Linked DNA regions of Rattus norvegicus. The protein of the gene in region 1 binds, or shares a complex with, the protein of each later gene. Links are inferred from orthologs where the notes say so. Each region holds a gene or a part of one and is shown in the gene's direction. Other genes may lie near its edges. The genes, in order: Exosc7 and Exosc1.

What was found.
Region 2: Exosc7 (region 1) and Exosc1 share a complex: the UniProt entries of both Homo sapiens proteins name them as parts of the RNA exosome core complex. The link is inferred for Rattus norvegicus from reciprocal best matches to the Homo sapiens genes EXOSC7 and EXOSC1.

What each region holds. Positions count from the first base shown.
Region 1 is NC_086026.1:131,664,366-131,668,177, forward strand, and holds part of Exosc7 (exosome complex component RRP42), read left to right. Parts: intron 1-1,257; coding exon 1,258-1,423; intron 1,424-3,812. UniProt on the Homo sapiens protein: Non-catalytic component of the RNA exosome complex which has 3'->5' exoribonuclease activity and participates in a multitude of cellular RNA processing and degradation events.
Region 2 is NC_086019.1:250,691,776-250,696,203, reverse strand, and holds the start of Exosc1 (exosome complex component CSL4), read left to right. Parts: upstream 1-1,455; 5' UTR 1,456-1,464; coding exon 1,465-1,495; intron 1,496-1,580; coding exon 1,581-1,696; intron 1,697-1,718; exon of another isoform or gene 1,719-1,873; intron 1,874-1,916; exon of another isoform or gene 1,917-2,882; intron 2,883-3,321; coding exon 3,322-3,396; intron 3,397-4,428. UniProt on the Homo sapiens protein: Non-catalytic component of the RNA exosome complex which has 3'->5' exoribonuclease activity and participates in a multitude of cellular RNA processing and degradation events.

The sequences.
Region 1 (3,812 bases):
AGTGAAGCTTCCAGTGCTTTTTAATTTGGGTTCTGCTTGCTAATGGTGTAAGGAAAGAGTAGGTAATTAGAGAATCAAAATTATACAATAAATGCTGCCCTGTGATTTATTCTTAGATTATACCACAAAGTAAGATTCCTTTCACCTCCTATTCCTTAAATAGATATGTGGGCCCAGCTGGTGTAATGAACTCTTCAGAATAAAATGAACACTTTTCTCTGGCTGGCCTGCAGAGCTAGGAAGCCTCAAGACTGAAGTATGGCTTGTAAGAGAGGTCTCTCACTCTACACAGCAGTGCATGTTTTCCTTGGAGCCTCTCTCTTCCTGCATTGATTCCTGCTTCTCTGAAGTTTGTGGCTTCTTTACCCTTCAGGAATAAGACATATACACCCACATATATACCATATACACCCACATATACCCCCACCACCCCATCCAACTTTCCCCGTCTCCAGCTGATACCTTCCAGGTTTTCAGGAGCCAGGAAACATGACTTTAGAGTCTGAGCTGATGCTGGCCCTCACCTGTCCTGACTACATGGATGAGTGATGTGCACTTACCTCAAGACTTAATAGGCTGTTTTGAGTCAGTACAGAATTCTCAGAATAGTCCTGTAAAGCCTTTTGAGTCATATTAGAGTAGCTGGTATGAACTCTTGTTAATTCTTGTGAAGGTAACTGGGCATAAGTAACAAGAGTCCAAAAAAGAATTTTTCTCTCACTTTTAAGTGACTGCAAATATGAATACTTAACAGGCCAGCATATTGTCGTGTTTCTATTCATTTCCTTCTCTCAGTACAGTGATAACCTCGTTTCTGGAGTCTGTTCTATCATATAGATTTTATCATATATTCTCCACCCCCCAAATCATTCTCGAGGGTATGACACTGACTCTGACTTTGCAGGCCAGCCAGAGAAAAGTGTTCATTTCACCCTGAAGAGTTCATTATACCAGCTGAGGTTTGCATTGCCACCGATCTGTTCTTCCTCTGCTGCTTGAAGGCCTATCATGTCCACTGACGGGTGCAGGGCACAGTGCTGGTCTCAACCATTGCGTACGCCTGTAGGATGCAAGGCCATCCAGTGCCATCCATGTCTCATTTCGCTCTTTGCCTCTTTTGCCTCATGCGAGCTAGGACAGCTCTCTGCCTTTTGGCCTTGGTGACATTCCTGATACTAGCTCGCCAGCATTCCACAGAGAACAAGGTCTTTGTACTGATAGGGACTCACTCACTTTTTCTGTTGCCATCTTGTGTAGTTCAGCCAATGCTACCCCAGAATTCGAAGGGCGAGGAGGTGATGACCTCGGCACAGAGATTGCAAATACCCTCTACCGGATATTTAACAACAAGAGCAGCGTCGACCTGAGGTCCCTCTGCATCAGTCCTCGGGAGCACTGCTGGGTGCTGTATGTGGACGTGCTGGTGAGTCACTTTGCACTGTCCCTGTCACTTCACACTTGTTGAAGATCTATTGGTCTCTTTCCTCCCTCTACCCTTCCTCCTCATGAAAAAGTGTTTTGTGTCCATGGTTAGATTATTTGGGAGGAGATGGTCTCCTGTAATACTTGTATTCACAAGACAAATACACAGCATTAGTAAGTAGTCCATGTAACACTGTTCTATACTAAAACTGTGATCACGGCAGAGTTGAACCTAAAATTACCCATTGGAGTTATCAGGGAATTAAAAACAAGAACCCTCGGGCTGGAGAGATGGCTCAGCGGTTAAGAGCACCTAACTGCTCTTCCAGAGGTCATGAGTTCAATTCCTAGCAACCACATGGTGGCTCACAACCATCTGTAAAGAGATCTGATGCCACCTTCTGGTGTATCTGGAGACAGCTACAGTGTACTTATATATAATAAATAAAATAAATCTTTAAAAAAAAAAAAAAACAAGGACCCTCTGGGTAGCACCAAACAGATGTAGTGTTTGAGTTTGGCAGGTTGGCATTTTGTATGGAACAAGCTCTTTTCACTGATTTTTTTCCCTAAGCCTTCTAAACCTTCTCTGAGTACACACTAGAGACCTAGAGAAAGAAGGAACTACTCATTTCTGATCAGTGGGGAACAGAGACCTACAGAAGTAAAGAAGTCAGCCAATGTCAGGCCAGTGTCTGCACTTGGCCTCCTCTAGGAGGGAGGATCTGGGCTCTAGGCCTCACCTAAAAAAGGAGGATTTTTCCAAGGGAAGCTGGCACATACAATAGGATTCGAGGACACTGTTTCCTGTGTTTCTGATTAAGACGTAGATAATTACCTGAATCACTGCTGCTGGGTATTTTTAGACTCCATATAGACAGAAGATTACGGCAAGAAAGTGGTAAATAACAAGGCCTTTCTGGGGATTAGAGGCTGCTGTTCTGCATTGTTAGGAAGAACTAAGTTCACCTTCAGTGGAGCCTCCTAGAGCTCACCCAGGCCTGTGTGTAAAAGCAGACCCTTGGGAATGTGTATGCAGTGTTTTTCTCGAAAACCTGAGAAAAGGATCTAATTTTTAATTCCAGAGTTTTCATTTGGGTCTTAAGTATATGGTCAGCACTCCTATGTAGCTGGGTGTTGTTAAGGTCTTTCTCAGGAGGAATGATGGATGCATAAATGCATAAACATGGTATGCCCATCAAAACCAGAAAGAGAGATTCTTCTTCTCAACGTGTAGTTAAAGCCATTTGTAACACCCATGCACTCTGTTCCCAGAAATAACCACTCTGAGCCTTAATATTTCATGAATAAATGCCTAGGCCAAAATCTTGGCTTGTTCCCTGGCTAGCTTATAGCTTAATTACCTGTGCATTCTATTCTAGGTCGTAAAACCTGCCCGGTTACCTGGTCCTCACTTTCATGCAACCATCATCTTCTGAGTCTAGGGCTGATAGCCCATGTCTATTTCCCAGACTGATATCCTGATCTCTCTCTCTCTCTCTCTCTCTCTCTCTCTCTCTCTCTCTCTCTCTCCCTCTCTCTCTCTCTCCCTCTCTCTGTCTGTCTGTCTGTCTGTCTGTCTGTCTGTCTGTCTCCCCTCTGCCAAATATCCCACCTGTCTGTCTCAGGTCATTGGCTATAGCTTTTTTTATTGAAAAATGATGCCTCTGTACAGTATGTAAAGATTCTCTCTACAATGTAACTTCTCCATCTCCCTGAGGAGTCAGGCTGTTGCCTTTCCCCCAGAACCTCAGGTAAAGGTTTCTTGGGAGGGTAGATTTACTACTTCCAAGTGATGTACGCTTTGACCTTGTCAGTGAGAGTCTACCAGTGATGAACTTGGGCTTTTATAGTTAATGCACAGTATATACTGGTAAGGTCCGAGCAGTGGGTGTGTGCCTTGTTAATCACATACCAGAAGTGTCCCTGGCTCCATAGCAATATCCTGTCAATCATCTGATAGCCAAGGCTAGAGTGAGGCTTGCAGTGCAGTTGGCAACCATCTGGGGCAGAATTAAGTCAGCCACTGCTTAGGTATTGCCCCAGCAGCTTGTGAGAATCTAATCACTTCAGCAGGGCAGTGGGGCCTTGCATGTGTGCCTGTGTAACCGCAGCCATGGACGAGCAGCGCTACAGTTAGGGAACATGTGGCTCTCTTCATGGCTCACCTAGTCAAGGAGGGCAGCCCACCTTCTGATCTTTATTCTAATTTATTTGTTTATATTTTGTCTGGTTGATTAATTGGTTTTATTTGTTCTTTGAGACAGAGTCTCACTGTGTAGCTCTGGCTGTTGTGGAACTCACTATGTAGACCAGGCTGGCCTTGAACTCACAGAGATCTACTGCCTCTGCCTTTGAAGTACTGGAATTAAAGGCATAATCACTGTGCC
Region 2 (4,428 bases), on another chromosome or scaffold:
ACAAAGAAACAGAACCATTATTAGAATCACAGCACTAAAGAACAATAACTTAGAGGACACCTCAAACTGGAAATCAAACCTGTAAAGTGGAAAGCATATAGTTGCTGATCAAACTCCAGTGAACAAAGAATGGGTCCAGGACCCCCCCCCCCCAGCCTAGTGGGATATGAGGAGAAGGAGGAGACTAGAAAAAGATGTAATAAATGGACCACAAGTGAAAAGGTTTTACCTTGGGAAACAGAGAAAAAAAACAAAGTCTTTAAATCTAAATGTGGTGAGAAGTCATGGATGACCTGAATGAACAGAGGAGGGATAAGCCAGCATAGTTCCTCCAAACCCCAAGTCCTGCCACCTCTCAGTAGAATCCACAGAGTACAGTGGCCATCTGCCACCAGAGTAGAGATTAGCAGGCAACAGCACTCCCCTAAATCACCATCTGTATCTCAAAGAAGCCTGACTGACAGGGAGGGAAGGGGAGATAGGAATAAATTCCAGAGCCAAGAGATGAAACTGAGATCAAGTCACGGCAAATTTCATCTGGACACAGCTGCTGCTCCCGTGACCTTTGCCATATCAAGCTGATGTCAAGAAAGCATAATATTCTATTAATGAAGTTGTCTTTCCCGGCTAACATGCTAAAATGGAAGAATGCAAAAGGAATGGTATGTTAACGTCAAGCTGCCCATTCATAGTTAAGGAGCTCACGCTCTAGAGTATCTGCCTGCAAGAGAAGAAACTGTCGTTTTACAAAGCTTAAAAAAAAAAAAAAAAAAAAAAAAAAAAAAAAAGGTTGTGTCTCCAGGTGCAGCAGGGTCCAATTATGATAGGCTCAGGTCAAAAAAAAAAAAAGAAAAAGAAAAAAGGCTTAAGCTTAGTCTGTCTCGAACTATCTACGACACTTTGTACAAACCAAACCTTGTCTCTGGATCTGAGTCTCCAAACTCGTGAAATGGGCGAGTTGGGACTGAGGATGAGTTGGGACAGCCACGCAGGGCAGGGCGCAGAGAGTCCAGGAACTTGAACTTAAGGGCCTGGACACCCGAGACTCGGATGGGGACAAGAACCGCGCCTTCACTCTTACCTGCCTCCTGCCAGCTTCTCAATCAGCTAGATTAGGCCAAGTCTCCCTGTCAGCCACTCACTGCCTCCCCTTCCAGCTCGGGACCCAGGCCGGGCCGAGCTAAGGCTAACCCACCATGGCCCTGAGCCCGCAGCGCCAGCCAGCGGACCGAGACCCGCGGACAGCCCATCACCACCCAGCTGCGCAGGCGCGAGTCTCAGAGCCCGCAAAGTCACGCCCAGAACTCTGTCCCGGGGCAGCCTGGGAAATGGAGTCAGGCTTCGCTCTTACGCCTTGCGCGGTCGAAAGCGCCAATTGGTGCACGCGTAACTGCGAGGCCGCTCCTCTAGTTGACCAATAAGAAGTCGTCTTGGTTCTCATCCGGGTTGTGGACGGTGGCAAGCATGGCACCACCTGTGAGGTACTGCATCCCGGGTAAGTGAGCGGTCTCCGCAGGCAGACCCTGGCTGCGGGCAGCCAGTTTCTGGGAGCTCGTAGCTGAGGCACATGTCTTCTGCAGGCGAACGTCTGTGTAACTTGGAGGAAGGCAGCCCGGGCAGCGGCACCTACACCCGGCACGGCTACATCTTTTCGTCGCTGGCTGGCTGCCTGACGAAGACCAGCGAGAATGGCGCGGTAAAGAAAGCGGCTAGCCAACGAGCGTCACCTCTCAGGCTGCCATCGAGTTCTGGTCCTTGGGCACAGGCACTACCGGGAGGACCTGTCTTTGGTGTCTCAGAGCTTTGGTCTCCCAGCTTCTCCCAGCTCTGATCCCAGCGCTGTGCTAAAACACACCTGCTGCACACCATTTAGGTTGGGCTGGCTTAGTTGTGTAGAGACACTCACAGAAGGAGGTGGAGGGGAAAAGCACGCAAATTTGAGAATAGCCCGGCCAGCCGAGAGCTTCTTCCCGTCATGCATCTCGACTACCTCCGCTTTCTTGTGGCTCTTGTGTCCCACTTCACTGACATCAATGTAGTAATGCTGGAGATTTTCAGTGTCTTAGTGAACTAAACTCTGTTTCGAAGCCTATGCAATGCATGTACTTGTCTGTCTGGAACACACTTCTGCTCAATCCCTTTTGTTTTTTGTTTGTATGTATGGCTTTCCCAGAGAAGCCCTTCTGGACCTGCTGACTGAGAAAATGGGGGTTTTAGTGGCAGTAGGATTGTTGTGCCCAAGAACCTTCCCTGGAGCACTTATTTAAATATGTTACTCATGATAACTAGATTCTTGCCCAAGTAGAAGTTTAAGTGTAGCCATGCATGGTGATACACGAGTGTATTCCCAGCTTCTAACTGACTCAGATAAAGCAGTGGTTGACATTTGTAAGACTATAAAAACTAAGAATTAAACCTCCTCAGGCTGGGCTTGTGGCTCATCAGCACAGCGTTTGCCTAGCTTGGGACCTGGGGAAAAACACACCCTCTTTAGAGACTGGCAAAACCCAAACTTCCCACTTTGTGTTGTACTTATTTGTAAAAAAAATGGGCTCCAGTCTATTGGTTTTGGAGATAAAACTCAGCCTGTCAGTCTACTCACTACATAGATGTCCTGCCCAGTGGTGCCCTTAGTTGCTACTGGGGATAGAGTCCTGAGCCCAATACACTTAGCTTTTGTTACCAGGGAGACAGACACAAACCATGAGCAAATGCACAAACATATCTTCAAAAGAAGTGTGCGGAACAGTGAGAACATGTAACGGGCTGCATGAATTCTAGATAGTGACAATAATATTTCGGCACCTGAAGATAAGGAGAGGTGGAGGAGTGTGGAAAGAATGGATTAGACAGACAACGTGAAATGGGAGGGACTTAGTAAGGTAAGGAAACAGCACAGAGCAAGAGAGGTAAGATAATACACCAGTTGCCATTGGAGTAAAACAAGAGTTGCCATTCTATAGCATTTAATTGCAAATCCTGAAGTAAAAAAAAAAAAAGTTATAGCTTGAAGAAAGAGTCAGGATATTCATAATTATAAGCAATAGGATTTGTACCAGGAAATCCCAAGAGAGTCTTCAGTCATTTACAACTAATCAGAATGATCACATTAAACCTGGCAGCCTAGTTCTAATGGCCTCTGATCCTCTTTATTTCCTAAAATGACTAATGTCCTCTGCTATGGGCTATAAATGAATCTACAGGCTGCCTGCCCTTGTGACCTCGGCTGTTGTAAGATACCCCTGTATTATCCTCAGCCTTCAGTTCTCTTTACCCAGGGCTTACTTAGCCAGTACACTAACCTTCGTATTCTCTCCACAGCTTCCCGTGGTATCAGTAATGAGAGAGACAGAGTCCCAGTTACTTCCAGATGTGGGAGCTGTCGTCACCTGTAAGGTAAGCCGGTCCTAGTCATGATTAGGCCGAGATCCTACAACTGCCGTGGTCCGCTGCTTAATACAGTAGTCCCTAGCTAGAGAAGGGTGTTTTAAGTTTATTACTGCTAGAAGGTCAATCTCAGGGATGGATGTGTTGACTCAGCCTTTAATCCCAGTACTCAGGAGGCATAGGCAGGTGAATACTTGAGGACAGCCTGGTCTATGCAGAGAGTTCCAGGACACCCAGGGCTTCATAGAGAAACCCTGTCTCAAAAAGAAAGAAAAGAATGAAAAATTTATTTTTAGCCAGGCTAAAATATAAAATATCTGTGGTCTCGGTATTTGGATGCTGTTTAGAATTATTGAACAGTAGTCCAAGACCAGAATAGGCTACAGAGTGAGATCCTGCACCCCACAATCCCAACACTATTCACATTTTAAGTACTCGGTAGCAAATTGTGGTTAGTGGCTGCCATACTGGTTGACATATGACTTTAGTTTGGGGGGTGTGGGAAAGTGATGGACTCCCCAGAAGTACGTCTTCAGTTCTAGGAAATGATTGGTTTTGTTTTACCTCATGTGAATAGTTATCTTGTCTGTATCATATGCGTGCCTGCTACCACAAAGCCTAGAAAGGTGTGTCGCACCCCCTGGGACTAGAGGCACAGATAATTATAGGCCACCATATGGGTGCTAGGAATGGAATCCAGGTCCTCTAGAAGAGCAGCCGGTGCGCTTAGCTGCTGAGCCATCTGTCCAGCCCCAGGAAATCACATTTCTGTCATCACAGAAATTTTTGCTGGCAGGGCATAGGTGCACGCTCCTCCAATGGTGCTTGGGAGGCGGGGAATCTCAAAGGGGAGCTAGGCTGCAAGGTAACCCTCTGTCCCAAAGACGGCTGGAGGGAAGACAGACACGGCAAGAGGCAGGCATATCTCTGTGAGTTCAAGGCCGACCTGGTTTAGAGTGCCAATAAAGGTGGGGCTACATAGTAAGACCTTGCCTTAAAGGAAGCGGGAGAGGAAGGAGTAGGGGAGAGTGTGAGTCGATA